2 linked regions of the Cricetulus griseus genome follow. The protein of the gene in region 2 binds, or shares a complex with, the protein of the main gene of each other region. Links are inferred from orthologs where the notes say so. Each region holds a gene or a part of one and is shown on either strand. Other genes may lie near its edges. The genes, in order: Tnrc6c and Gigyf1.

Region 1 (14,726 bases), on a different chromosome or scaffold from region 2:
TTTGCTCAGGGACAGATCGCCAAGGAGGAGACAAGAGAAATGGGGGTGGAAGGGACAGAGACATTCTTAGGAATTGCTTGGTGTCATTTTGCTGGTAGTGACAGTTTCACAGGGGCATAATAAGTTCCAACATGAAGCAAACTGTTCTCTTTAAATATTTGCAATTTACTGCATTCCAATTATAACTCAATAAAGCTATCAACACACACACACACACACACACACACACACACACACACACACACACACACAGGAAAAGAGGCCAGATTCTCTCTCATTAAAGCAGACTGTCAGCAGCAGTGAGACCCAATAGAGAGGTGTTCCACCTGCAGGCTCACAGAAGCTGTGCACAGGCAGCACGGGAACCTGGACTAGGTGTCGCCTGCTCAATCTGTGGCCATGGAGCTTTGCTGACTTTCTTTAAAATGTCCATGTCCCTGACCAGAATTTGTGATTTACCAATATGTTTTTTATCTTTTAAAACAGTCTATGATCTGAAAAACACCTTAAGTCTTAACACACTTTTCCTTTGATCCTATGGGGAAAATTAACACATTTACTATCTCTCCCCCTTGGGTTGAAGAATAGAATTTTAAAAATTCCCTTAAGCATAGAACAACAGAGTCAAAGAAAGACAAATCTAACATTTAAAGCCTTAAGTTGTTCCCTAAAGATCCTTCACATAATAAATTCTTTCAGTCTTGTTTGAAAACTATAAAGAGTCTAAGTTCCTTCCAACGGTGAGCAGTTACACAGCTAACAGACACACAGACTGTGTTTCCAGTTGTGTGGTAGCAGAAACAATAATATACAACTGACAACAAGAGACCACAGTTCTAATTCTGCTACTAATGAGCTGTCATAAACCATTTAACTCCTTGGGATGGCATTTCCTCACTCAGTACTATGGGAGCTCGGAAATCCTGAAGGAGTCTTCAACTCCAAGATTTTAGTTAACTCACAGATGGGCAAATAAAGTGTCACACGAAGTAAAATGCACATTGCTGAGCCTACCGAACAGTCTGTTAGCTTCTGCCTTTAGAAGATGCTCACATCCTCTTAAGAGAAAATGAGTATAGGTCTGAGATTTTTGTCCATTTTATTTCACTGTTTAGCTCAGGAAAACCCAGATCTTATGTTTTATCAAAACCAGTTGCTGATTACTGTGTTCAAAGGACTGGACAGACAGCCATGGCTACCTCAGTTACTCAGAAGTACCACCCATCAGTGGGTGTGGAATGTGAGTTCTTGCTTCTTTTTGTCTCTATACCATAAAGTCAGGGTGACAGGCAGGCTCTCAGAACTCTTCACTCACGTTGATAACAAGCTTGTGTGTTTCAGGTGAGCTGTATGTAACCTGTGACTCAGATGGCTACATTGACAACAAAGTGCAGAAAAGGCTCTCTGTGAACTGGCAATCACACAGGGGACACATGTCAGGGCCGCACCTGCACCACCAAGATCTCAACTCAGTCGTCATAACTAAACATCAGGGGCACTTGCTTTCAGAGATGCTATAACTAACTTCAAATGTTTTATAGGAAAACTTATTTATTTTATGAACATAAAAAAATTAAGCCAGGCATTGGTGGTGCATGTCTTTAATTCCAGCACTCAAGGGGCAGAGGGCAGAGGTGGGCAGATCTCTGTGAGTTCGAGGCCAGCCTGGTCTACAGAGCGAGTTCCAGGACACAGAGAAACCCTGTCTTGGAAAGAAAAGAAAGAGAGCAGAGAGAAACAGGGACAGAGACAGAAATGGGGGGGGAGGGGAGACCTTCCTGCCAGCCTGTTCATAGACAGCATCATTATCTTTGCATTAGAGACTTAAAGAAGAGCAGCTAAACACCCAACCTCTGCTCTAACGATACCCTTAGTGATCTCATGACAGTAGGGACTAAAGTGCTGGGACTTTAGTGCTTGAGTGCTGGGACTAAAGGTGTGCGCCACCATTGCCTGGCTGGCAGGAAGGTTTTTAAAGGGCTTTGTGTTTTGGCATTAAGAGGAGTATGAACCGTGGAAAGTACTGGATTCTGGGAGTTTATATGAATACACAATGAGATGTAAAGGATGGCTACTAAACAGTAACTGGGAAATAGCTTGGATGGATTAGTTTCTCTTAGGATTTTTTGTTCCTTCACTCTGTGTGTGTGTGTGTGTGTGTGTGTGTGTGTGTGTGTGTGTGGTGTGTGTGTGTGTGTGTGTGTGTGTGTGTGTGTGTGTGTGTGTGTGTGTGTGTGTGTGTGTGTGTGTGTGTGTGTGTGTGTGTGTGTGTGTGTGTGTGTGTGTGTGTGTGTGTGTGTGTGTGTGTGTGTGTGTGTGTGTGTGTGTGTGTGTGTGTGTGTGTGTGTGTGTGTGTGTGTGTGTGTGTGTGTGTGTGTGTGTGTGTGTGTGTGTGTGTGTGTGTGTGTGTGTGTGTGTGTGTGTGTGTGTGTGTGTGTGTGTGTGTGTGTGTGTGTGTGTGTGTGTGTGTGTGTGTGTGTGTGTGTGTGTGTGTGTGTGTGTGTGTGTGTGTGTGTGTGTGTGTGTGTGTGTGTGTGTGTGTGTGTGTGTGTGTGGAGAAGCCAGAAACTGACATCAGATGTCAACCTTCTATCAGTCTTTACCTATTTTTTGAGACAGGGTCTCTCAGTGAACTTGGAGCTCACCAATTGGCAACACCAGGCCAGTGAGTCCCAGGCATCTTCCTATCTTCAACTCCCTGGAGATGGAAGGACAGGCATATGCCACTTCACCCAGTTTTTTACATGGTGTTGGTTAACAAGCACTTCACCAACTGAGCTAGTGGGATCTCCCCCTACCCTTTAGGCAAGGTCTCTGTCCGGTAGCCAAGGCTAACCCTTGCACTCAGAAAGGCATTAATGCAGAGCTGCCGTAAGGACAGAGGCCGAGCAGAGCTCCAGAGAGCAGCAGCAGTGTCTGCTGTCTGCAGAGAAAGCAGGGCTCCTGTGGTACAAGCTACGGGCAGGGTGCCAGAGGAAGGGTGCTCCTTCTGCAACTCCCCTACTTGGCCTGCTCTTTAGAACAAGCGTGAGACTCCCACAAAGAAATCAAAAGCCAGGACTTAAAAAAAAAAAAAAAAAAAAAAAAAAGCCAGGTGCTGGAGAGATGGCTTGGTGGTTAGAGAGGACCAAGGCTCTATTCCCGTCACCCACATGGCAGCTCACAACTGTCAGTAAGTCTTCCTCCAGGGGATCGCACATTCTCTTTTCCAGCCTATGTTAGACAGGAGGGACTCCTAACACACCCACACCACCTCCTCACTGCCTGGAAAGCTGCTGTGCTTCTCTGCCGACCTTCCCGACATGTGCTGCTCTGACAGGAGAAGGTGGGCAAGGGTTTGCTGTGCTGTTCCACAGACTCTCCTTGCTTTGTAGCTTTGTATTACTAGCCCTGGTGACAACAGCAGCAACAGAGTCACTAACGCCAGGGCCTAGAACTGGCCTAGCACAAAGGCAGTAGCTGAGGGCTCTAGGCAGGAAGGAGGGAACATGGAGATGTAGCCCTATGTACTGCCAGGCCACGACAGGGGAAACAAACAGAACACTGTGAGCACAAATGTTATCACCAAATCAGGCCATGTCCTTTCTAACACCAGTGCCTAGTCAAAAGTGTCACCTCACAACAGCTGATTCTGATGGCACCGAGTAATGATGGAAATCTGAGAAAAATGTAAACCCAACACTGCTAATAATCATCAGAAAACAATCTAGACTGGAGGGATGACTTGCTGATTAAGAGCACTGGCTGCTCTTTCGGAGGACCTGGGTTAGTTCCCAGCACCCACATGGCAGCTCACAACCACTCTCCAATTCCAAGAGATGTAGCACCCTCTTCTGGCTTCCATGAATGCAGGGCAAACATGTGGCACATATGCAAACATGCGGGCAATATACTCATACATATAAAATAGAAATAATTAATTAAAAAGAAAATTATGCACAAGTACTTTAGATTGTTCTGTTTCTAAGGACATGAACAACTGTTTTAGGACAGACCCAAAGGACAGTTGTAGGCACTGACAAAGTGTCCCACAGAGCCAGCCACTCAGAAGAGGTAACAGGAAAGCAGTCGGGTGCTGTCAGCACAGGCACACAGAGCAGAAGTCCCAGGCAAGGGGCAGCACAGTTTGTTCAGGCACCACGCAGCAGTGAAGGACAATGGAAACGAACTGTGAAAGTGACTCGTTTAAGGGGGATGAATGATACACAAAGAGTTCTGTTTTTGTAGATGACAGTAAGAACCACTGTTTTATTTGAAATCATAAACTCAAACACAGCCACAGCCAGTCCTTTTGGTCCATTTGAAAAGATTCTAACAGAGCAGAGAGGCCCTTGTACCCTGCTGCTTCTAATACTCATGTAACAGTGAACTAACTCAGCTCATGACATGACTCTAGTAGCCTGGCGCAAGGACTGAGGCACAGGGCAGAAGCCCAGGCTCCCCCGTTATGCCTGGACTATTACAAAACCAAGAACTTACAAGTCCTGTTCAATTATGAAGTTCAAGTGTAAGATCATACATGTAATTTTAACCTTGAAAACTGCCAGATGCCAGCTAGAAGTGAAGTACTAGAATAGACTGCAACTGAGAACTCTTGTAAAAGCCCTTATATTGCCAGCACCTACAAGTACAACTGTGTCCAAGGGAAGACAAAAAGATTTAAGTAACAGTGAAGTACAGCAACCTTTACTCAACATCAGTTACACTCTAGCTATTGGTCCCTTTCTTTTCCTGTGGGAGCTCACTTGTCTTTACAACAACTTTATAAGGCAAGAACAATCCATCACTTTTCTCATTTTAAAGATGCAATACCTGAAGCTTCAAGAAGGACCTTGTCATGGAGGGAACAGAGCTGGTCTGTGACCCACATGTGTCCCTACTGTGTCGAGTATGAAGTGCAGGGCATGGGCTCACTCTGAGCCTCCAGCACACCCAGCACGCCTGACCAACCCTGTTACAGACAAGGGTAAACAAGCTCTGGAAAGAAGCCTCTTACCCGTCACTAAGAAAGAAATAGACGATGTCTGCAAGGGAATAGCTGGCAGTAAGGAATTTCAAGCTTTAAAAAAATTTAGCCTTCTCTGGGTCTTATTCCAAATGAATCACCTTCCTGAATTCGATCCTTATTTGGTGGGAATTAAAGCAAAAGGAAATTTAAAGTGTTGTTTAAAACACAGATAACATTTTCTAGGCAGTTTTATATTAACCTAATGACAATGAAATGTAGATACATAAAACCAGTCACAAATGAAGAGCTTCACAATGTATAATAAATGTACAGTCAAAGACAGACTTAGATCCTTTGTTTTAATGTCACCTTCTGGGGTTCAGGGTTTAACAGCACTTGATGATCTTGCAGAGGACCTGGGTTCAATTCCCAACACCCACATGGTGGCTCACAACCATCTTAATTCCAGTTATAGAGGCTCCAAGGCCCTCTTCTGGGCTGTGTGGGCACTGCACACACTTGGTGCACAGACACACATGCAGGTGAAAATATCTATAAACATAAAATAAATTTTACAAAAGTCACCTCATTGCAAAGTTGGATACCGCTATAAAAAGTATGCCCCTCCCAAAATGTATATTAAAAACAAATAAACAACTTACCTTTGGTTTTTTGATCAGCAGCCTGAAAAACAAAAATCAGAAATGCTTTACAAACGGTTGTGTGGAATGTACACATTGATGAAAGTTTATAAGCAGATTTTTTTTTTTTTTTTTTTTTTGGGTTTTCGAGACAGGGTTTCTCTGTGGCTTTGGAGGCTGTCCTAGAATTAGCTCTTGTAGACCAGGCTGATCTCGAACTCACGGAGATCCACCTGCCTCTGCCTCCCGAGTGCTGGGATTAAAGGCGTACGCCATCAACGCCTGGCTTATAAGCAGATTTTAATTGGTTTAGGTTTTGCTCTTTTAGTTTCTTTAAGACATGGAGCCTTGACTATCCTGGAACTCACTGTGTAGATCAGGCTTGCCTCAAACTCAGACAGATCTGCCTGCTTCTGTCTCCCAAGTCCAAAAGTCTTGGATTAAGACTTAATTCTTGAAATTTTAAAAGCAAACCAGGTAATTTACTACTGAGAAAAATCAGTATTTCTCTACATGCCATGATTACATGACAGTGTTAAGTTACAGGCAAAAAAGTTTTTATGGAGCTCCCTATCTGCCACAGTCTAGAAGGGATCCTTCAAACCACATGGCACATTACTTAGGTGAAAGCAAAGATGGGTTGTATAATTTGGTTTACATGTAATGAAATAGAAGTATGACTATAAGGTTTAAAGAATTCTAAAAACCAGATTTTTAAGTGTGTGGTGTGTGGTGTGTGTGTGTGTGTGTGTGTGTGTGTGTGTGTGTCTGTCTGTCTGTCTGTCATGTGTGTGTGTCTGTCGTGTGTGTGTGGTGTGTGTGTGTGTGTGTGTGTGAGTGTGTGTGGTGTGTGTGTGTGAGTGTGTGGTGTGTGTGTGTGTGTGGTGTGTGTGTGTGTGAGTGTGTGTGGTGTGTGTGTGTGTGTGTGGTGTGTGTGTGTGTGTGTGTGTGTGTGTGTGTGTGTGTGTGTGTGTGTGTGTGTGTGTGTGGTGTGTGTGTGTGTGTGTGTGTGTGTGTGTGTGTGTGTGTGTGTGTGTGTGTGTGTGTGTGTGTGTGTGTGTGTGAGTGTGTGTGGTGTGTGTGTGTGTGTGTGTGTGTGTGTAGGTGCCCAAAGGGACCAAAAGAGGGTGTTGAATCCTCCCCTGGAGCTGGAGTTACAGGTGGTTGAACTGGGACTGAACTTGGGTTCCCTGGAAAAGCAGCAAATGTGCTTAACTATTGAGTCATCTCTTTAGATTGGTTTATACAACTTATTTTAACATTTATAAATAAGATTTATAAAGACTATTTACCAAGACTGCAAAAAATATTTCTAGCTTTTCTTATGCTGTCAGTTTCATGGCTCCTTCCTGATGTTTTAGATGGGGGCTGCTCTGGGCTGGATATAGTCCACTCTCAGAAGAAGGCATGAACATTCTTGCACATCAGCTACACAGCCCCTGGAAACAAGACTTTGCTATGTCTGGCTCTTTAAAAAAGACATTTTGCAGCTGGCACCCTAAATAAACTGACTTTACTAGCTAAGTACCCATTATTTACTAATTACAGATTTAGCACATTGATTTAAAACAGAAACAGAATCAAGCGTGGTCATGAGACAGCTATTCTAAGGCACATGTGACACACATGACTACGACGGTGTGGAGAAAGGAATTGCAGCAAACCTTTTTCTGAGCACCTTCCTTCTTTTTCTTGTCTTCCTGCTTTTTCTTTTTCTTTTCTTCCATCAAACGTTCCTCTTCTTGTGTTTCCTGTTCTTTTACCCTATTAAATATTTAAAAAGTGGTATTAGCATGATGACTGATTTAAAGCCCATTAAAAAATGAAAAAAAAAAAGAAAAAAACAAAACAAAACAAAACAAACAATCAGAACCAGAACTGGTGGCACAGGACTATAATCCTCGCTATTTGGGAAGGTGAGGCAGGAGAATCATGACTGGCCCACAGGGTAAGTTCAAGACCAGTCTCTGTATGTGTGGGAGGGTGCTGAATGTAAGAGTGTTTGGCTGCCTTGTCTGTGAGATGCCCTGGGGTCTGACACTCAACACTGGGGTAGAGGACAGGGATAGGATCGGCACACAAGGTCTTGAGCTAGACATACACAGGATGGAGACTCTTTGAGAGGATGAGAAATGGAGGTTCACCCAGGACTATAAAGTGTCTCAGTTATCTCATTTGTTTGCTTCACATTTGTGGAGAACCAGACTTGTACTGGGCATTGTATGAAGGACATGGAGTAAGGTACAAACCCATCAGACTAGTGCTTTTCCAAGTGTTGTCTCACACCATCACTGCATGTGTCCATTTGTGGTTTCTATCCTGCCCCACAAACCAGGCTTTTGGAGGCGAATCCCACGTACACTTAATTTCATGTTTGTCTGACCAAAGGATTATCCCTCTACACAGAGCCCTGTTCAGCTGAAGAGCTATTACAAGATACACAGCATGGAGGAACTCTGCTTTAAAAGGTCACAACAGCCTAGCCACTGGGCTATGGAGCTGAGGAGTCTAATAGCCCAAGTGGTCACTAACAATTGCCTGACAGCTCCATGCTCTCCCAACAAGACAGGCTCTGGCCCTTCTTCATTCAGTCAGAGACCTGGGAAGCGTTCTCATTAGAGGGTACAACAGGATGAGGGGCTCTCCTGACCCCTGGTGCTGTGGCACTGTAAGGTCAACATGTGGCTATGACGCCCCTGCTGATGACTACAGACCTAGGCTGAGCACAGGCACCCTTGCAGCTCTGGTAGTCTAGCATCCCATGCAGCAGCACTCCCAACACTCATCTTATCCCAGGCCTCCTGCTACTAGCCATTTGTCTCTCATGGGTCTCCCAATTAGTGGCCCTCTCGACAGAAACACTGGGCTCCAGCCTGCTGCACTGATAACCAATCCATACACTCAGCCTGGCAGTGCTTCTGGCTGCTCAGCAGCAGCAAACCTGCCCACAGCTCAGAGCATGTGCCAGCATGTGGGGACTCCCTTCTAAGCCAGCTCCTCTGTGGGGACTCTACCAGTTTAGGGGCCACACCACTTTCTATAGTTGATTGCTTGTTGTTGTTTGAGAAAGGGGTTCACTATTTGGCCCTGGCCTGCCAGGAATTAATTCATTATATAGACCAGGCTGGCCTGAAACTCAGAGATCCCCCTGCCTCTGCCTGTCTCCTGAGTGCTAGGGTTACCACTGTAAGATTAATACAGATGGGCAGGCATATTTAACAGATAAATATGAGAAATAGCGTGCCCAAATCTACCCATGCGTAGATGTTGCCTTGTATTTATATCTGTGAATATTCTTTCTTCAAAACAATGACTCCTCAGTTTCTGGTTTCCAGTCAGAATTAACTTGGGAAGCTTAGAAACATCCAGACCCGAGGCTGCTACAGCCATGTGGATGGGACCTTTGTGGACAGGACTCTGGCATTGGCACACGTACAGCTTCCGGAGGGCTCCAGATTCAATGCACATTATGAACTTTGAAAAATGACTATTCATGATCCCAGAGAAACTCTCCAGGAATGTTTCACGGTAAAAAAAAATGTTTTCAAAAAAAAAAAAAAAGTATACACTGTACTAAGCCATTTATATGCACAGCATTCTAGGTATAGGCGGCCTGAGTGTAACCAGGTATGCTCCAACCATACAGCTTCAGCTACACATCTAGGAAGAAAAAAAAAAAAACCATGTCAACAGTGGCTGCCTGCAGTCGGGCTTTCTTAATCTACAGCACACTGAGACCCTTAAATTATCTTCAAAGAGGAAATATAACAAAGGGCAGGTAGGGGCTCTGTGCTGCAGAGGTAGTCAACAGGAGGAGGAGTAAAATGACTTCGACTTAATTCTATTCATCTGCAAACTAAAGTAACAAAGGCCAGCTACTCTTCAGCCCAGGTGTGACCTTTGTTTGACTGCTCATGTTTACATGACAAAGTACCACAGCAGCAACCACCTCTACCCCTAACTTGCACTGTGCAGCTGCTATTTTTTTAGTAATAAAAAATGAACACATAATGACGTTTCTATTTTGTAATGTAGTACATGCCCATGGGAAAACACACACTGTACAAAGGTGAAAGTCTAAAGACTCCTTCTTTTCTTGTGTGTCAGCTGGAGTCATCTTAGACGCCATCAATGTATGCTCAAAGTTTCGGGGTACCCCTAAGAGTGCTCTTTGCGGGACGTCCTGAGGGCATAGTGCAGTGACACAGCACTTGCCCGGGCACATGTATGACCCTGGGTTCAATCTGGGTGGGTTGGTGGTGTGCAGCTGCAAATCCCAGGAAGCAGGGGTATCTTGAAATTGAGCCAAGACTCAAAACAAAAATAAAAACAAACAAAAAACACTGAACCAACCCAAAAAATTCTTCATGTGCTTCTTTTTATTTTTGGTTGTGAGCCTAGCTTTAAACGGCTGAGCCATCATCTCTCCAGCCCATGTACTTCTTTTTTAAAAGTACTAAGTGAGATGTACTTACTATTCCCTTTCTTCTATGTTACTTAATGATCCATCCCAGTAAGTGTGGGGCACGTTATTCCTGTGGTTTTGGTGAGTGCTTCAGCTCTGAGGGGAGGCTTCCCGAGTTCTGAAGGAAAGGGTATCCTGACCGCATGGAGGAGCCAAGGAATACTGCAAAGTCATGCCACACAACAAAACTCAGAGACTTATTGGGAGAGACACAAGAGGGTGGTTACCTCTGCTCAGAAGAGAGGCAGAGGGGAACTGAGCAGGAGGCAGGCTTTACATAGGAGTGTGTGTGTGTGTGTGTGTGTGTGTGTGTGTGTGTGTGTTTTCCCGGGTGTGTGTGTGTGTGTGTGTGTGTGTGTGTGTGTGTGTGTGTGTGTGGGTGTGTGTGTGTGTGTGTGTGTGTGTGTGTGTGTGTTTTTTCCAGGGTGGAGATTTCCAGAGTGGGGATTGCTGGGATTTCAGGCTCAGGAACCAGTAAATTTTGGTGAGTTTTCACACCCAGAAGTGGGCTTCAACATTTTACCCTACAGCCTGGCTCTGCTGTTTCATCAAATATGTGAATGTAGCCATGTAGCACATGGAAGGCACTTTTGTACTTTTTGCAGAACCCTTTTTCCCCTTCTGAGGCACAATCTATCCCACTGTGTTGTCCCCCTGGTTGGCTTGAACTCACTCTGTAGATTGTCTTAATGGTTTTGGTTTTTTTTTAATGATTTATTTGTTTTCATTTTCTGTGCACTCATGTTTTGCCTGGGTGTGTGTCTATGTGAAGGTGTCAGATCCCCTGGAGCTGGAGTTACAGACAGTTGTGAGCTGTCATGTCATGTAGGTGCTGGGAGTTGAACCTGGGTCCCCTAGAAGAGCAGCCAATGCTCTTAACTGATTAGTCATTTCTCCAGCCTCTGTTTGGAGTTTTTAATCACTGCTCTTTTATTTTTCTTGTACTTGTTTGTATTTTACACTTCTCTACTCACCTAGAGTTTAAAACCCTGCCTTTTAAAACACAGAGACAAAAAAACAGGACCTTGTGAATCCAGGCTGGCACTGAACTGGCTCTGTAGCTATGAATGACCTTCGACTCATGATTTAGGTACATTTACCTCCCATGTGCTGATATTTCTAGAGCTCCCTATCTAGCTCCATTCATCTGGGAGCAGGCCTCACAAGAACTGACATGTCAGGCACACCAGTTAAAAATCTAAAATTTCTGTAAAAGTATGTGGTACACTTTTCCCTTTTAAAGTACATATAGCTCAGGTCTGTCTGTGCAATCCATCAACCCTGGTTAAGTACAGCTCTCACCCCTCATCAAAGAATCTTCTTTTTGCAAAAGATGGAGATTAGTACAATGATACATAACTGGCCAAAATGCAGGGAACAACTAACCCTGGAGTGCCCAATTCCAATGGAAATACCTCCATCAGGCAATGCAACATCCCCTCCTCAGCTCAGGGAACATCACGGAAGAGGGGCAGAAAGACAGATTGGAAGAGCAAGTGCACGCAGCTAGTGTTGCCTACATGACAAGGAAAGGCACCCATGGACTCTCAACAACATGGTAACCTGAACAAGACCAACACACCAGCTGACATGCCAGCATGGACAGGGGAAACTCCGTAAGGTCCTACCCTAGAGGAGGGGCTAACAGGTAGTCAACGGCTTCTGAGAGAGAGGGAGAATCAGTTTTCTTCATGAACAAGCTCCCACGTATACACACACACACACACACACACACACACACACACACACTCACACACACACACACACGAATATATATGTAACAATAATAATTAAAGATGAGGTTGTAGGGCTGTAGAGATGGCTCAGTGGTTAAGAGTACAGGCTGCTCTTCCAGAGGTCATGAGTTCAATTCCCAGCAACCACATGGCTCACAACCATCTATAATGAGATCTGGTTCCCTCTTCTGGCATGCAGACACACATGCAGGCAGAATAGTGTATACCATAATAAGTAAATCTTTTAAATAAAAAAACAAAGATGAGGCTGCAAATTTGAGAAAGAGGGAGTACTGGAGAAGTTAGGAGGGAGGAAGCCTGAGAGTGACGCGGGGCTCATGTATGACACTCTCAAAATAATTTTTAAAAACCTAATGCATGACATTAGGGTAGAAAGACTTGCATGTTAATTTTCTCTCCAAATAAGTGACATAGACTAGTAGTGTTATTATCCCCAATGGCATGTAATTAGCATGCTTCCCCTTTCAAAACACAAACTCTGCATTTCCCCTCTCCCAGCCTCTACTTTCCTTCTTTGTGAGTCTGGCCATACTCACTCACTCACTCACTCACTCGCTCACTCACTCACTCACTCGCTCGCTCACTCACTCACTCACTCGCTCGCTCACTCGCTCACTCACGCTAACCCTCCTGTGGTCTCAGCAATGCCGAGTGCGCTCTCCCAGGCTGCTGGCATTCACACACATGTTTCCAGTATCGCACTAGCTACCTTTTTACATTCAACTTCACATTTACTCTGTGTGAGTGTCTTGCTTGCGTGTGTGAATTTGTGCTGTGTGCAGGCATGAATGTGTGCTGTGTGCAGGTATGAATGTGTGCTGTGTGCATGCATGAATGTGTGCTGTGTGCAGGTATGAATGTGTGCTGTGTGCAGGTATGAATGTGTGCTGTGTGCATGCATGAATGTGTGCTGTGTGCAGGTATGAATGTGTGCTGTGTGCAGGTATGAATGTGTGCTGTGTGCAGGTATGAATGTGTGCTGTGTGCAGGTATGAATGTGTGCTGTGTGCAGGTATGAATGTGTGCTGTGTGCAGGTATGAATGTGTGCTGTTGGCATGTATGAATGTGTGCTGTGTGCATGCATGAATGTGTGCTGTGTGCATGCATGAATGTGTGCTGTGTGCATGCATGAATGTGTGCTGTGTGCATGCATGAGCTAGTAGAGGTCAGAAGAGGCGCATCCGATCCTCTGCAACTGCAGTTACAGATACTTGTGAGCCACCATGTGGTGCTGGGAACTGAGCCCAGGTCCTCTCCAAGAACAAGTGCCCTTAGAAGCTAAACTCTGTCTTGAGCCCATGAATCACTCATTTTGATCTGACTCAAACTGACAGGGCAGGAAGTCAGGACACAGACCCAGCACAGGGAACCACTAACATCCTTACCTATCCAGTGGGGTTCATTTCAATGTTTTAATTCAGTCATTCCATGATTTGCCCTTGTATAACTGCTTGCCTATCTTGCTGTAAAATAAAAGTGTCTCTTTAAGAAAAGGTGCATGTTGCCACCGGGCATTGGTGGCGCTCGCCTTTAATCCCAGCACTCAGGAGGCAGAGGCAGGTGGATCTCTGTGAGTTCGAGACCAGCCTGGTCTACAAGAGCTAGTTCCAGGACAGCCTCCAAAGCCACAGAGAAACCCTGTCTCAAAAAACAAAACAAAACAACAAAAAAAGAAAAGGTGCATGTAAGCCAGGATGGTGGCGCACCCCTTTAATCCCAGCACTTGGGAGGCAGAGGCAGGCAGTTCTCTGGGAGCTCCAGGCCAGCCTGGTTTATAGAGAGTTTCACGACAGCCAGAGCTACACAGTGGGACCCTGTCTCAGGAGGGGTGTGGGGAGAAAAGGGACTGGAGAGACGGCTCAGCAGTTAAGAGCACTGGCTGTTCTTGCAATGACCCAGGTTTGATTCCCAGACTAACTCATAACTGCCTGTAACTCCAATCCCAGAGAATCTGACACCTTGTGCTGGCCTCTGTGCTTACTGTATGCACATGGTGCATGGACATACGTACAGGCAAAACACCTATACACATAAAAATAAAGGGAAATTTAAAAAAAAAAGAGTAAGAATAAAAGGGTATGTAGAAGTGAATCTCTAGAAACTGCAAGCTTCATTTTTTGTTAGACTGGGCCTGGTGGGTCTCATATATCAGTTTGAGAATTGATTTGAAGGCACGATGCTCCTGCATCTCAGCACATAGCCTGAGTCAGAAGGACCATGCCACTGAATATAAAATCCTTTTTAGGTCATATGTTTTTTTCTGCAGATACAAATGTTTCTCTTACACTTGAGCTCTGAAACTCCCTGAATGTGCGTCTTCAGTGATTTCTGTGCTCACTATTCACACTTAGCGTGAAAGATGGATGTTTTCAAGCCAGGTAAATCTGTTTTCAGCGCTTTGTTTCGTGTGTGTGTGTGTGTGTGTGTGTGTGTGTGTGTGTGTGTGTGTCTGTGTGTGTGTGTCTGTGTCTGTGTGTGTGTGTATGTGTGTCTGTGTGTGTGTGTGTGTGTGTGTGTGTGTGTGTCTGTGTCTGTCTGTCTGTCTGTCTAGTGCTGCAGGTAAGAATCTAGTCCTAAACCAGGAATAGTAGTGCACATCTTTAATCCCGGCAGGGGCAGGGGCAGGGGTGGGGCAGAGGGATCTCTGTGAGTTCAAAGCCAGCTTGGTATACATAGTAAGTTCCAAGACAACCAGAATTGCATTATTGTCTCAAAAAAACAAAAACCAGAACAAACAAACAAAATCCAGGTCCTGGCATGCTAAGCAAGTACCCAATAGCCACGCTGTGTGGCCAGACCATGGCTACTGAGATAAGGTCTTGTTCATAGCTTCGGCTGGCCTGGGACTTGTCTTCCTGTCTCAGCATCTCCAGTGCTGGAATTACAGGCATGAACTACCATGCTGTGTGCTGGC
Region 2 (14,909 bases):
ACGGCCTGCAGAGAATCCAAGTTTAGTTCCCAGTACCCTTGTCAGGCAGCTGTCAATTGCCTGTAACTCCAGCTTCAGGGAATCAAGTGCCCTCTTCTGGCCTCCTTGGGCACCTGCACTCATGCACACACACCCTTACACAGATACACACATTCACAGGATTACATATAAAGTTTTCTCTTTGGGGGCTGGAGAGATAGCTGAGAGGTTAAGAGCACTGACTGCTCTTCCAGGGGTCCTGAGTTCAATTCACAGCAACCACATGGTGGCTCACAACCATCCATTATGAGATCTGGTGCTCTCTTCTTCATGCAAGTGTACATACAGACAGAACACTGTATACATAATAAATAAAAATAGAAAAAAATCTTTAAAAAAATTTCTTAGGGCAAAAATCGGCAAAATCACGAACCTTTGTGTATTTAGTTTTTTTGTTTTTTTTAGACAATGGCTCAAGTTGCCTGAACTCCTGATGTTCCTGTCTCCACTTACTTCCCTAACTACAAGGACTGCAGGAGCTACTGGCACTTCCCAGAAACAATGTTCAAAACAGTGTCCGGCACGGAAGTGCATGCCTGTAAAGCTGAGCACCTGGAGGCAAGAAGACCACTGTGATTTCTGGGCTAGTGGAAGGGCCACCCAGGCTACAGTGTGTGAGACTGTTTCAAAAACTAAGCCACTGGGAGGCAGAGGCAAGTGGTTCTCTGAGCTGGAGGCCAGCCTGGTCTACATAGCAAATTCCAATCCAGCAAAGGCTATGTAGTGAGACCGAGTCTCAAAACAAACAAAAAGAGACAACAGAAGACAAGAAGGAAGAAAGGAAACGCATGCACACACACTCAGACACACACGCGCGCGCACGAGCGCACACACACGCACACGCGCGCGCGCGCGCACACACACACACACACACACACACACACACACACACACACACGAAGTAAGGACGAGAGGGAGGAAACACACTTTCAAAGCAAACTACGAAGGCACACAGCAAACTTTCACACCATGAGTCCCTCGGTGTTACGGAAAAGTCATTTCTGGATGTCTTAAATTGTTACAGAACACTCGTAGACACAGTGACGTGAACTCCTGACCCCTCTGTCTGTCTGTCTGTCTGTCTGTCTGTCTACCGCTCTAGCGCTGGCATTACAGCCTGTGCCGCCTCGGGCTTCCTGGGGCCTAGTTTTGGGAGAAGGTGTCACAGGCAGGCTGTGTGGAGCTGCTGCTCGGCGCTGGGGTTCGCTGCCTTCCAACCGCGGACGCTGCTGCTGAGGCTGCTCCCAGCCTACCCAGCCGGCAGCCTCGGCCCGGCCTCCTGCGCCTCCCACGTCCCTGCGCACTCACGGTCCGCAGCCGCGGACGGCGTCGCGGGGACAGTGCTGGCCTCCCCGGGGTGTCCCCTCTAACCCAGGCGGGCTCCGCGGAGGCGGCGGGGCCGGGAGGCCGGGGCCCCCTCACCCAGCCCCGGGTGCGGGGTGCCGTCACGTGACCGGGCTGCGCTCCCTCCCGGGCCGGCGCGCTCGGGGCTGGGTTGCGGGGTGCGGGGTGCGCCGCGGCGGGCGCGGGGACCAGGCGGGTCGGAGTCCAAGAGCGCCGGCGGCGGCGGCGGCGGCGGCGGCGGCGGCGGCGGGCGGCGGCGGCGGCGGCGGCGGCGGCGGCGGGCGGCGTTGGAGGGGGCGGCCCCGCGTCGCTGTCACGTGGTACGAGGCGGGCAGCCATCTTGCTTACAAACACAAACAGAGAGGAGCGGCCGCCGCGGGAGCGCCAGCGCCCCCGTCCCCGCCCCGCCGCCGCGCCGCCGCCGGCCCGCCCGCCCGCCCGCCCGCCCGCCGCGCGCCACCCGCCGCCGCGCCGCCGCCGCCGCCGCGCGCCCCGGTCACCAACGCCCGGGGGACCGGGCACCTCGCGCGCCCCGGTAAGCTCGCGAGCACCGGAGCAGGCCCGCGCCCCGACGCCAGGCGGCCGCCCGGAGCCTTTGCGGCCGGCGGGGCCGGAGCCGGGCCGGAGCCACGGCGCGCGCGGCCTCCTCCTTGGACGTGTCGCCCGCTCGCCCTCCGGAGCGGCCCCGGCGGCCGCGGCTCGGGCTCCCGCTCCGGCTGGGGCGGGCGGGGTGGGGGCTGCCGCCCCTCTGGGCGGGAGGACGGGAGGGAGAGGGGACCGGGGCGGTCCGCGCGCGCCCCGCGCACCTGGCGCCCCTCCCTGAAGGGCACGCCGTCCTCCCGGCCCGCGCTTTCCCGCACCCCCGTGCGCAGCCCTAAGTAACGGTCGCGTCCCCGGGGTCCCCTCCGGGCTCCCCACCGAAATGTCCCGCCCGGGGACCGGGCCTCCGCCGGCCGTGCGGCGCGCGCGCCCAGACCTCCCCTTTTGGCGGTGTCCCCTCTCCCCCCCTCCATGCCCAGCCCGGTTCTGGGAGCCGAACCGGGCGGGCCTGGCGGGGCTCTCTGGTCCAGGCGTTCTAGCACTTCGGCCAACATGGAAGCTTTATTCTGCCCGAGCGCCGCGTCTCGGGTCGTCACCTCGGTTTCTTGCGTTTTAAGCGGCCACCTAAGTGCTTGGTCATCGAGGTCCCTCTTCTCATCTCAGTTGTCCGGCCGCGGGAGACACCTGTCTGTCTGAGCTGGGGCTGCTGGGCTTCCCTGACACTAGACCAGGCTCTTCTCAGTCTATATGTTCCCGCTAGATGGGACAGCTGCAGGTCACTGTTACTCACAGTTTGCTTAGAATTCTTTCTCTTAATTTTTTTTCAAGTTGAAAGACCCTTCTGTGTCCCCTTTTAGACCCAATAGTTACTACAGTTCCCAAACAGCTTGCAAGTGCTGTGCCTGGGAGATGCTAAATAAATACTTGGTGGCCTCGGCCCTACTCCCTTCTCACTGCTCAAAAGTGCTGCTACCCTTCAGCAAAAGCCCCTTCCCAGCAGCAGCCATGGCCCCTCCAAGCTGGCACACCACTCTCTCCTGACACTCGCAGCCCATCTAGACCAGTGTCTGGTTTGCGCTGGCACCTACCCATCCAACTGTTCCCCTTGCAGCCCCAGGCCAGCTACCCTTCCTCCCAGCTCAACTTGTGTGTCATAGGTGGGACACCGGTATCCCGAATTGGGGGAGGATTTGAGGAAGTTGGCTTATGCTTTCTCTCCGTTGACTGTGTGGGCCCCGGTTCTTGAGTGTCCCACTTGGGGATTTTAGTAAAATTTTAAAGTCTGTTCACCTTTGTTGACTAGCTTTGTCACCTAATGATTACAAAGTAGTGGTTTGTGGAGATAGTGAATAAGAGACCCCAAGTTAACCCTAGCCTTGTATGTCTCTTTTGGGCATTTAGGGTAGGAAAACAGCCCAATGGTGAGAGGGCCTAGTAGGTCAAGGCACTTGGTTTGCAAGCCTATTGACTAAGAACCTACTTCTGCCCCCATGTGTGCCCCTCTGCCACATCATACACTAGTGATAAAAGAGAGGAAAAAGAAAGACAGCTCAGCTTTCGGTAAGAAAGGTGACGCAAAAGTTTGAGCAAAGGACGCTGGTGGCTGAAGCTCTTGAGGTTGGGTCTCCAGAGCCACATAAACACCCATGGAGGCTCACCTGTCATCCCAGCCATCCCAGGAAGGCAGAATCCCCCTTGCAAGAGGGCTAGCTAGACTAGCCAAAACAGCATATTCTGCCTCAGCAAGAGACCTGCCTCAGTAAGTATGTTGGAGAGCAACTGAAGATACTAGGCATCACCCTCAAGCCTCTACATTCATGCACACATGTGCATCCACATGTGAATTTGAATACATAACACTGACACTGTACACACATGCAAAACATGAAAGCCTCAGAAAAATCTTGGTTTGGAAGCCTGTGCAGATCATGGGAACATTCAAGAAGCAGGAGGGCTGCTTTAAGTTTGAGGCAAACCTCAGCTACAGCATGAGACCTTGTCTCAGCAAGCATCATTAGCCCAAAGTCTAAGAAGGAATTAAAAAGGGCCTCAGGCTCACATAGGAAGCCCGCACATTCAGGATGCTCTGTCAGTCTTGGCTGGATGGTGAGGGTGTCAGGGTCCCCTGGCAGAGAAGCTGTAACTTTATTTTCTATGTAGTAGAGTCCCCTGCCTAGGCTAGCTGGCAGCAGGGATCAAATGAGGTAAAGCGTGAAAATGCTTTGAAAACTGTGAAGTAATTCACAATTGCCAAGTGCTGGGGTTATTTGTCACTGTGGTGCAGAGTAGAGCAGGGGTAACTGCTGCCCTAGGGCTGATGGGGTCCTGTAGTCCTTCCTCCTCCACTATACATGGAGGGAGAATACTTAGACACAGTGTCTCTCCATCCATCCATCTTGGGAAAGTTGTCTTCAACAGGCTAAGTGGTTGGGCAGTTGCTCAAGTTTAGGATATTTGGGGTTTTGACTCTGTTAACAGTGGTACAGGATGGTGCCAAGTTACATTACTTTAGATTGGAACAAAGTTTAGGGGTGACAGAGTAAGGAAAGCATTGTCCCTAATTGTGTTCAGCTTGTGTTTAGAGTTCTTGGCATAAGAGGAGCAGCCCAGGTCCCTCAAGGAAGCTGCGAGCTCCAGCTCCAGCCTATGTCTCCAGCAGGGGCCACTCTTTTAGTATCAAGAGAGCACAGGTGCTGGGGGAGATGAAGTAGGCTGTGGGGAGGGGGCTTTGTGAGGCAGAGCCTGAGGGCAAACTGGAGTTGGCCTGGGAGAAAAAGACCTTCACTGAGGCATCAGTAGAAGGTGAGGTGGGGAAAGGTGTGGTCCCCACCCTGCTGCTCTCCTGCTTGCTTTCTTTCTTTTTTTTTTTTTTGTTTTTTGTTTTTTGTTTTTTGTTTTTTGGGACAGGGTTTCTTGGTGGCTTTGGAGCCTGTCCTGGAACTTGCTCTGTAGACCAGGCTGGTCGCTGCCTCCCGAGTGGTGGGATTAAAGGCTTGCTCCACCACTGCCCATGGGCTTCTTTATTAGAAAGGGGTGTGGGTGCTTAGCTTTGAGGAATTGACAAACTTATGGTTTGATTTTTTTTTTTCTCATTTTTAAAAGAGTGTGTGTGCGTGCACATGCATGTACGCAAGTAATGTCTCGTGGTGTGTATGGGGGTCAGGGGACAGCTTGGAGGAGTAGGTGCTCTCCTTCCACCGTGAGCATTAAATTCAGGTCATCAGACTTGGCCACAAGCTCCTTAACCATTTCTCCGGCCTGATGCTGTTGCTTTTCAACCTGTTCTCTTCTCCAGGCCTTGCCCCCTGGAAGGACCTGGGGCTTTTCTCATGCGACTGCGTCATGAGGGAAGCCTTTTCTTGCTGTTGAGGGGCAAGGGAGCCCGCAGGCTTCTCTAAGGCTCCAGTGTCTCCACTGAGGCTCATGGGTAGAGGCCACCTGTCTCTACCTGGATACATGCTAGATGACAGGCCTGCACCGTCTGCGTTGTTGGGGATTGAACCCAAGGCCTTGTGCATGCTAGACAAGCATTCTGCCAACTGAGCCACATACCTCTTTGTTCTGGGTTGTCCTGTGGCTTGTAAGGTGGTCCATAGCATCCTGGTCTCTACCTGCTAGAATCCAGTAGCACCCTTCTGTCCAGCTGTGATGGCCTCAGTGTCCGCAGTCATTGTCCATATTCCTCTGGGACGAGTTTCCCTCAGTGGAGAGTACATGGCTTCAGACATCACATAGTGGGCTGCCTGCTGCTTCCTGAGCCCCTTCCGTGCTGCTTAGTCCCTGGCACTTTCTCAGGCTGGTCTGCAGGCCTTGGAGCTTGCACTCCTTCCCCTAGGCCTTCCTTCGCCTCTGCAGTGGCCCTGCTGTATCCACGTTGCCTTTGCTTATTGTTCTTTTTCTTCTCTTTTCCCTTTTTAAATGAACGGTGTCATCATGTCCACCTCCCACCCCACCCTTCGCTTACTTAGTGTGTGTGTGCACACCATAGCATGCATGTGGAGATCTAAGGATAACTTGGAAGAGTGGCTTCTCTCCTTCCATCTTGTAGGTTCTAAGGGATGAAACTCAGGTCATCAGGCTTGGCAGCAAGCACCTTTACCAAGCTGAGCTGACAGCCAGCTTGCCTCTCCTTGGGGCAGCCGCATGAAGGGTAGGAGGATGCAGGAAGGTTAGGGTAGGATACCCCTTGATCTCTCCTACTGGACAACCCTTCCACACTGCCTGCTCCACCAGAAGGATTGAGAAGGCCCCAGATTGTCACTTTGGAGATTGTTTGAAGGAGTATAGGGTTCTTAGTTTGGAATGGGGAAAGTGTTTAGCCCCCACAATGGCTTTTCCCCCTAAAGCTTTGTGTATGAGCACGTGCAGATCATTCTCTTTTGCTGTCTGCCTTACTGCTTTTTTAGCCTTTGTGTATATGCATGTGTGAGTGTGTACACACATGGAGGTCAGAGGATACCTCAGATGTTGGTCCTTCCACCTTATTGGAGACAAGGTGTCTTGCTGAAGGCATCATTCCTGAGGTTGACTGGTTCATGAGCTCCCAGGGGTCCTCCTTTCTCCACCTCCCATCTCCCTGTAGGGACACTATACATCTGTCTTTGCATGGGTTCTGGGGATTAGAACTCAGGTCCTCATGCATGTACAGCAAGCACTTTACCCACTGAGCCATCTCTCCAGCCCTCTACTTAACAGCAATAAAAACAGGTTTTGGATGGCTAGCTAGTCTCAGGGATACTCCTCTTTCTACCTCCCTAGTGCTAGGGTTGTGCTTGGCTTTTATGTGAGTGTTGGGGCTTGACTGAGCCATCTTCCCTGCCCTACAAATTTTTTTTTTTTTTTTGGTTTTTCGAGACAGGGTTTCTCTGTGAGCTTTGGAGCCTATCCTGGCACTTGCTCTGGAGACCAGGCTGGCCTCGAACTCACAGAGATCCGCCTGCCTCTGCCTCCCAAGTGCTGGGATTAAAGCCGTGCACCACCAACGCCTGTCTTTTTTTTTTTTTTTTTTGACAAAATATTTTTTTAAAAAATAAATACTGAGGGTGGTAGCCTAGGGTTTATGCATGCTAAGCATATCCTAAGCCACCAACCTCACTAAAGCTTTCTTAAAATGATTGTTGAGGGCTGCAGAGACGACCCTTTGGAGAGGCCCTGAGTGTGATTCCCAGCAGCCATGTCAGGTGACATAGGGAGCCAACACCTTCTAGATTCTGGACACCTACATTCCAGGGCATACACCGTCCTTCCCCCCACCATACACACATACACATAATTAAGAAATAAAAATTGAATGATGGGTGTAAGCCAGGTATGGTGGTGCATGCTTACAATCCCAGCACTCAGGAGGTTGAGGCAAAAGTGTGCAGTTCTGTGGGGTTAATGTCAATACATTTTCAGGGTTGTGCTGCCATCACCTGTCACCACTGATGTCTCCACACCCCTCCCCTGTACCCAGCTGAAATCCTGGACCCATTCATCATTTGGCAGTAGTTCTGTCCCAACCCCAGGTCTTTGTGTTTGACCTGCCCCCAACCCCTGGATCCTCTGTAAGAAAGATCCTACAGAGGTTTTATCTTTCTTGTGTGTGGTGGTTTTTTGTTTTGTTTTGTTTTTTTGTTTTTTGTTTTTTTGTTTTTTGTTTTTTGTTTTCCTTCAGTGCTGGGAACCGAATTCAAGTCCTTTAGATGAACCTCAAGCACTGTAAACCACTGAGTGTCTGTCTCCAGCCCCAAGTCTGTCTTTTGGCAGTACTGGTGGTTGAAGACAGGGCCTTGTGCATGCTAGACAGTTGTTTAACCACTGAGCAACACCGCCAGCCCCTCTTAGTGTTGTTTGTTTGCTTTTCCTTGTTTGTTTGCTTTTCCTTGGGGTGGGGAGTAGGGGAGCTTGAAAGTCTGATCCTTTTGCACCCACCACCGGGGTGCTAGGATTATAGGTGTATCCTACCACATCTGGTGTATGTGATGCTGAGGTCAAACCCAGTGTGTTCGTGTATGTTCTGCAAGCTCTCTGCCAGCTTAGTGACATCCGAAACCCCAGAGCTTAGCTGTCTGTGCCCGACTTGTTACACTTAGCATCATGTTCTTGGGGTCTGCCTAGTTCCAGATCCCCCAGGGTGGTAGTTAAGAAAGGTGTGGTTGTGGAGGCAAGCCTTCAGAGTATCCTGCAGCACTGGGCTATGGGCCACTTGGGACAGCCCAGGCTCTTGCTGTCTCCAAACAGCCATGTGTAGTCACCCTAGATCCTAGGGTGCTGGGATTCTGGGTCACCCCATTGTCTGGCATGGTGTCTCAGTTGAGCTACAGGGGAGACCCTCTTTCTGAAGCCTCTCTGGTAGAAACCCCCTTCTTCCTTCCTCTAGATCCCTGGCATCCTACAGCGGATGGGGACTGCAGAGGCACACTGGTCCAGCCTCCTGCCCAGCCAGTGATAGAAACCTACACACAACCCCTGGACACTGCCTGCCCTTCCTCCTCTACTCTGCCCTTCCTGGATGAACCATCTCCTGAGAGTCTCCTACCCAGGCTCCTAGAGGAACCTGCCCCTGCTGCCTCATCAGCCTCAGACACTGAACTTGCCTCTTCCCATATGGTGAGGTGCCAGCAACTATCTGAGAACCCTGGTCCCACCTTCACCTTTTTTCTGAGAGAGAGTTCTTGATGTAGGGGAAGGAATTTAGGGCTTGGCTCCCATAGATGAGCCTGGGGTGTTGTGGACACGCACGCGCACGCGCACGCGCAATCTAACACTGTTGTGAATGCTCTGGCAGCACTTTTTTTTTTTTTTTTGGTTTGGTTCCTGACCAGATACAGTCCTCTGGTTTTGTTTTTTTGTTTGTTTTTTCTTTAGGGACATCATCTTTGTTACCTTGTTTCAAGATTTACTGTGACACTCTCCAAAATGGACCATTCCTCTATAGAACATCATGGCCCCAGTGCCTTTGTGTTTTATTTTTTGAGTCAGGGCTTCATGTAGCCAAGGCTGACCCTGAACTTCTATGTAGCCAAGAATGACCTGACTCTCCTGCCTCCATCTCCCAAGTTTTTGGTATCCTAGGCATGTGCTACCACACCTTTTCTCTGTGGTACTGGGGACAGAGCCTAGGGCTCATGTGTGATAAATAGCAATCCACCAGCTAAACTAAATCCCCAGTCCATTTGTTGTTTCTGCAGCAAGGTCTTACAATGTGTCCCAGGTTGGCCTTAAACTTGAAATCCTCCTGCCTCTGCCTCCAGAGTGCTGGGATTGCAAGCATGGGCACCACCATGTCTGGTTCTGGTGGCTTACTGACCTGGGTTGTGGTCCTGAAAGTCACCTCCTCGCTATATTCTGTGCTGCAAACCCATGCCAGCACCACTGGCCAGTGATCATGCCTGTACATGTGCCCTGCGTGCTCTGTATCCGCAGCTGTGGGCCAGAGGTTGGGAAGCCATCTGACTCACTGGTGTAACCAACCTCTTCCTTTTCTTCTCCCTAAGGATCTTTCCCAGATGTGAAAGTTCCTCCCTGGCACCACTGAGGCTGTAGACGATAGCTAGTGGCTTGGAGACTCTAGTTAAGCTCAGCCCAGGCCCTGCCAAAAGAGCCGGTGCCTCCTCTACTTCCCAGGGCAGGACTGTCAGGTGAGTGATGAACCACCAGAGGGCGCCCCACTGAGGCAGAAAGGGCTCAAGCTTCCTTGTTCTCTAATTCCTTCCTCTAGGACTGTCCTCTACCCTGACTTGATTTGGGTTAACTCATGGTGTGAGTGGTCTCGTGTCTGGTGTAGGTGAGTTCTTCAGTGCCAAAGTGGCTGACCATCCAGATGAGGCCTGTCACTGGCCCAGTAAAGTGCTGGCCCCATGACTAACCTGCAGATGCTTACCGATGGCCCTGTCTGTGGCCCTACAGGTATTTGGACAGTACAAGGCCTGGTCCTCTCTTCTCTACTAATCCTTGACCTTTGAGAAGCATCTCAGCTCCACGATGGCAGCAGAGACACTCAACTTTGGACCTGAGTGGTGGGTTGCTCAAGCTCTGGCCCATGGGAAGAAGCTAGGGCAGTGGGGATGGGCCACATGGACCTTCGTCTCCCTTTTTCCTTTCTGTGCCTGCTCTAGGCTGAGGGCTCTTTCAGGTGGTGGCAATGTGGCCTCTCCACCCCCATCCCCTGCCATGCCCAAATACAAGCTGGCAGATTACCGCTATGGGCGAGAGGAGATGCTGGCCCTCTATGTCAAGGAGAACAAGGTGAGGTTCCCTTCCCCATTTGCCTTATCAGTGAGTTGCCCCTGAATGTATAATGTATTGGGCCTCCTGTCCCATCACAGGTCCCTGAGGAGCTGCAGGACAAGGAGTTCACTGCAGTGTTACAAGAGGAGCCACTACAACCTTTGGCCCTGGAACCTCTGACTGAGGAGGAGCAGGTGGGGCTGGGCCCAGCCGGGCTGAGGCAAATGGGCCTCGGGTGGAGGAAGGTGAAGCCAGGCTTGAGAGGATGGGGATTGACTGAGTGATATGTCCTCACTCCCCTCCCTGGCTCCCTCCTCAGAGAAACTTCTCCCTGTCAGTGAACAGTGTGGCTGTGCTGAGGCTGATGGGGAAAGGGGCTGGGCCCCCTTTGGCTGCCACCTCCCGTGGCAGGGGCAGCACACGGAGCCGAGGTAGAGGATGACTTCCCATGTTTTTCAGGGGAGGAGATGGGCAGAGTCTGAATGGGTGGTACTAAGGATACAGAGAGAGGGTCACGGGAAGGTCCCAAACCCAGATGTCACCCCTCTTCCTTCAGGCCGTGGCCGTGGTGACAGCTGCTTTTACCAAAGAAGCATTGAGGAAGGCGATGGGGCCTTTGGACGCAATCCCCGGGAGATCCAGCGAAGCCAGAGCTGGGATGACAGGTGTGGTGAAAGATGAGGAAGGCAGGCAGAACAGAGGAGTGGGGGCTGGACTGGCAGTGAGGTGTCTGTAGCAAGAACTAGAAACAGGCCAGCCCTGGCCAGAGCCCTCTGGGTCCTACCCATCCTTTCATTCGTTGGTTTGGGGGTCCTATTGTTTTCTCCCCAGCCTGATTGTCCCCTAGTTCCCTCTGCAGAGGGGATGGTGTATATGTTTTGACCAGCATCTTTCTTCCACAGAGGTGAGAGGCGGTTTGAGAAGTCTGCAAGGAGGGATGGAGGTATGAGAGCATTGCGTGTGTGGCCAGTAGGGTAGGGAGGCGATTGAGATGGGCTCCCAGGTGGAGGGGGGGCAGAACCCTGTCACAGGGTTCTTTGGTGCTCATTGTCTGTCTCCCCCATGCCAGCACGGTCTGGGTTTGAGGAGGGGGGGGCCGGCCCGAGGAAGGAGCATGCGCGCTCTGACAGTGAGAATTGGCGCTCACTACGAGAGGAGCAAGAGGAGGATGGCAGCTGGAGACTCGGGGCAGGACCCCGGCGAGATGGTGATCGCTGGCGTTCCACCAGCCCTGGTAAGATGGGGCAAGGTGGAGTTTGAAAATTGCCCCCATGGGGCCGATACTGGGGAAGGGGTGGTCATGCATATGAGGGATGAGGACATCCTGGGGAAGCCATGCTTCTTGGGAAGACCTGGTGAGCTGAAGAAGGCAAATCCTGGTTTGGCTGGACACTCATTTTTGTGTTTTGTTTTGTTTTCCTTCTCTAACTTTCTCTTCCAGATGGTGGTCCCCGCTCTGCTGGCTGGCGGGAGCATGGGGAGCGGAGGCGCAAGTTTGATTTTGATTTACGAGGGGAACGAGGAGCGTGTGGTGAAGAGGACGGGCGACTTGGGGGAGGCAGCTCTCACCTCCGGAGATGCCGGGGGCTCGATGGTTTTGAAGATGACAAGGATGGGCTCCCTGAGTGGTGCCTGGACGATGAAGATGAGGAGATGGGCACTTTTGATGCTTCTGGGGCCTTCCTGCCTCTTAAGGTACCCTCTCAGGGGCCAGTTGGGGTTGATGGAAGCTGTCCCTCAACTCCTCTCCCACTGTCAACTCTGCCCTTTCTCACACAGAAGGGTCCCAAGGAACCTATTCCCGAGGAGCAAGAGCTTGATTTCCAGGGCCTGGAGGAAGAGGAGGAGGAGCCTTCAGAAGGAGTGGATGAAGAGGGGCCTGAGGCAGGTGAGCCCTTAAAACCTTGCAGGGAAGAGCCAAGTCGTCCTCTAACATATGTGCACGTGCATGTGCCAAGCCAATAGTCAGAGATGTGGAGAGAGACCTTTATCAGGTGTGAAGAGAATGACCTTTGGAGTCATGTGGAAAGCCTGCAGGCACCCACCCACACAGCCCTCATCACTTGTAGGACCTAACCAATATCTCACAGAGCAGGGCCGGGAGGCAGTGTGCGCAGTGCAGACAGCTCAGTTCTCTGCATCCATACTTCTTGGTTGGTTAGGGAGTTGACCAAAGTTAGAAAGGATAGACATACCACCCAAGGTCTGGGAACTGGTACACGTTACTTTGTGCTATCTCACTGGCATGGTCTCCCCCTGCTCTCTTATTTTTATTGTATATGTGCCACAGAGTATGTGGGGGGCAGAGGACAATTGTGGGTATAGTGGGTATAGTCCCTGCCGTTCACCTTGTTGGAGGTAGGCTCAGTTGGGCCTACCAGCTTGTGGAGAATCTCCTCTCTCTGCCTCCCACTCCCACTCCCATGTGTGGCTTTTATACAGGTTCTTGGGATTTCAACACTGCTCTTCATGGTTGTGAAACAAACACTTACGCATTGAGCCGACTCCTTAGCCTCAGCCTCTTCAGTTTTGAGTTCAAGTAGTCATGTGTTCCTTCCAGGTGGGAAGGAGGTGACGCCATTACCTCCTCCAGAAAAGTCCAGCTCCCCATCTCCACTGCCTGCCTTGGGCCCTCTCTGGACAACGAACGAGGATGGTGATGAAGTAGTGGAGAAAGAGCCTCCACCGGCTGAAGGTAGACTGGCAAGAGCTGATGGAAAAGGGAGTGCTGGGTGTGGATACAGAATTGGAGTTGTGGCAAGAGCCATTTTCCTAGCAGGCACAAGAGCCATCCTGTCCCTTCCTCGGCCCCTCCCCATTTTCCCATCTCTTCTCCCAGGAGATGAGATGAGGGGACTGTCTCTGAGTCCTGGAGTTGGCTCACCTCCTGGCCCACCTGGAGATCTGGAAGATGAAGAAGGCCTGAAGCACCTGCAGCAGGTTTGGGGGGGTGCCTGTGCATGCTCAAGGGGCCTCCACTCTGGGGTTGCAGAGACCTTTGTCCCACGTGTCCTAGATCTGTCTGACATGGCCCTTGTGGTATCAGTCCTCTCAGACTTGCCTCTCTCTCTGGACTCCCAGGAGGCAGAGAAGCTGGTGGCCTCCCTGCAGGACAGCTCCCTGGAGGAGGAGCAATTCACGGCCGCCATGCAGACACAGGGCCTTCGCCACTCCACAGCCGCCACTGCCCTTCCCCTCAGCCATGGCGCTGCCCGAAAGTGGTTCTACAAGGACCCACAGGGGGAAATCCAAGGTAGCTGTGGGTAGCAGACTGCTGGGAGTTGATTTGCTCCGTGTGCTCTCTGACGTGCCATGGCCACCTCCTAACCCCTCTCACACCCTTGTTCCAGGCCCTTTCACGACCCAGGAGATGGCTGAGTGGTTCCAGGCAGGCTACTTTTCCATGTCACTCCTAGTGAAGAGGGGCTGCGATGAGGGTTTTCAGCCTCTGGGAGAGGTGATCAAGATGTGGGGCCGTGTGCCCTTTGCCCCCGGGCCCTCGCCGCCCCCACTGCTGGTGAGCACTGTCTGCTCTGCAGGTTGCAGGGAAGGCAACCAGTGGGGCAGCAGCAGGACCTCAGGCACTACCTCACTGCCTCACTTGCTGGGCATGCTCCTGCTGGGCACACTCACACGGGCATGCTCTGACCTCCCGCAGGGAAACATGGATCAGGAGCGGCTGAAGAAGCAGCAGGAGCTGGCTGCCGCAGCCCTGTACCAGCAGCTGCAGCACCAGCACTTTCTGCAGCTGGTCGGCAGGTATGGGGACTTCAGGGCTTGGTGTGGGCAGGGCAGTGGTTGTACGTGGTAATACCGTCTGAGCCCAGTATGTCTGTAGCCGCCAGCTCCCGCAGTGTACGACGCTCCGGGAAAAGGCAGCTATGGGGGACCTGACGCCGCCGCAGCAGCAGCAGCTCACTGCGTTCCTGCAGCAGCTCCAGGCTCTCAAAACCCCCAGGTCTGTTGTACTAAGTGTGTGAGTGTGGGGGGGTGTCTGTGTGAGTGTTGGGGTGAGTGTGGGAGGGTTTGTCTGTGTGTGGGAGGGGGTGTGTGTGTGATGGTGTGAGGTAGAGAAGGAGGAGGTCAAGCTACAGGTAATGCAGTGTCCTGAGGGCCAGTTGTTTGCTTCTAAGGGGTGGCGACCAGAACCTGCTCCCGACGATGAGCCGGTCCTTGTCGGTGCCAGATTCGGGCCCCCTCTGGGACTTACATACCTCAGCTTCATCACAGTCAGGTGAGTGGCCAACCTGCCCCATGCCACACCCTGGTCCCCTTTACCCCCCAGTCTCTGCTTGTCACACTTGGTGGCTCTGCCTCCTATCTGCGGGTGGTTCTGCTGGGTCTGGGTCTCTGCAGCTGCCTTTCTTCTGCAGGTGGTGAAGCCAGTCTTTGGGACATACCAATTAACTCTTCGACTCAGGGTCCAATTCTAGAACAACTCCAGCTGCAACATAAAGTAAGTAGCCTGCTGGCCTGGCGCAGGCCAGCTGAAGCAGGCGCAGCCTCCCAGCTAACGAATGTCCTTGTCACTGCAGTTTCAAGAGCGCAGAGAAGTGGAGCTCAGGGCAAAGCGGGAGGAAGAGGAGCGCAAACGCCTTTGCCGTGAGGAAAAGCGCCGCCAGCAGCAGCAGCAGCAGCAGGAGGAGCAAAAGCGGCGGCAGGAAGAGGAAGAGCTCTTCCGGCGCAAGCAGGTACAAGTCCCACCTGTCTCCTGGACCTGGCCTGTGCCTGGTGCCAGACAGCCACCAACATCCACTGTGCCTCACCCAGGTGCG

The links.
Region 1: the proteins of Gigyf1 (region 2) and Tnrc6c are in contact, whole or in part, in a crystal structure (PDB 7RUQ), measured with the Homo sapiens proteins. The link is inferred for Cricetulus griseus from reciprocal best matches to the Homo sapiens genes GIGYF1 and TNRC6C. Residues at the interface, in NP_001362694.1 of Homo sapiens: Tyr479, Asp481, Pro482, Gln487, Phe490, Trp498, Tyr503, Phe504, Leu508; in NP_001136112.2 of Homo sapiens: Arg1719, Pro1720, Pro1721, Pro1722, Gly1723, Leu1724, Thr1725.

What each region holds. Positions count from the first base shown.
Region 1 is NC_048600.1:130,237,189-130,251,914, reverse strand, and holds the start of Tnrc6c (trinucleotide repeat-containing gene 6C protein), read right to left. Parts: upstream 9,109-14,726; 5' UTR 7,317-9,108; coding exon 7,254-7,316; intron 5,633-7,253; coding exon 5,611-5,632; intron 1-5,610. UniProt on the Homo sapiens protein: Plays a role in RNA-mediated gene silencing by micro-RNAs (miRNAs). Required for miRNA-dependent translational repression of complementary mRNAs by argonaute family proteins.
Region 2 is NC_048597.1:116,434,823-116,449,731, forward strand, and holds the start of Gigyf1 (GRB10-interacting GYF protein 1), read left to right. Parts: upstream 1-8,099; 5' UTR 8,100-8,514; intron 8,515-9,401; 5' UTR 9,402-9,545; intron 9,546-9,625; 5' UTR 9,626-9,691; intron 9,692-9,813; 5' UTR 9,814-9,888; coding exon 9,889-9,923; intron 9,924-10,022; coding exon 10,023-10,152; intron 10,153-10,232; coding exon 10,233-10,328; intron 10,329-10,453; coding exon 10,454-10,565; intron 10,566-10,690; coding exon 10,691-10,799; intron 10,800-11,036; coding exon 11,037-11,077; intron 11,078-11,203; coding exon 11,204-11,368; intron 11,369-11,575; coding exon 11,576-11,829; intron 11,830-11,913; coding exon 11,914-12,022; intron 12,023-12,694; coding exon 12,695-12,829; intron 12,830-12,973; coding exon 12,974-13,074; intron 13,075-13,215; coding exon 13,216-13,387; intron 13,388-13,484; coding exon 13,485-13,651; intron 13,652-13,792; coding exon 13,793-13,893; intron 13,894-13,972; coding exon 13,973-14,092; intron 14,093-14,267; coding exon 14,268-14,368; intron 14,369-14,507; and 5 more. UniProt on the Homo sapiens protein: May act cooperatively with GRB10 to regulate tyrosine kinase receptor signaling. May increase IGF1 receptor phosphorylation under IGF1 stimulation as well as phosphorylation of IRS1 and SHC1.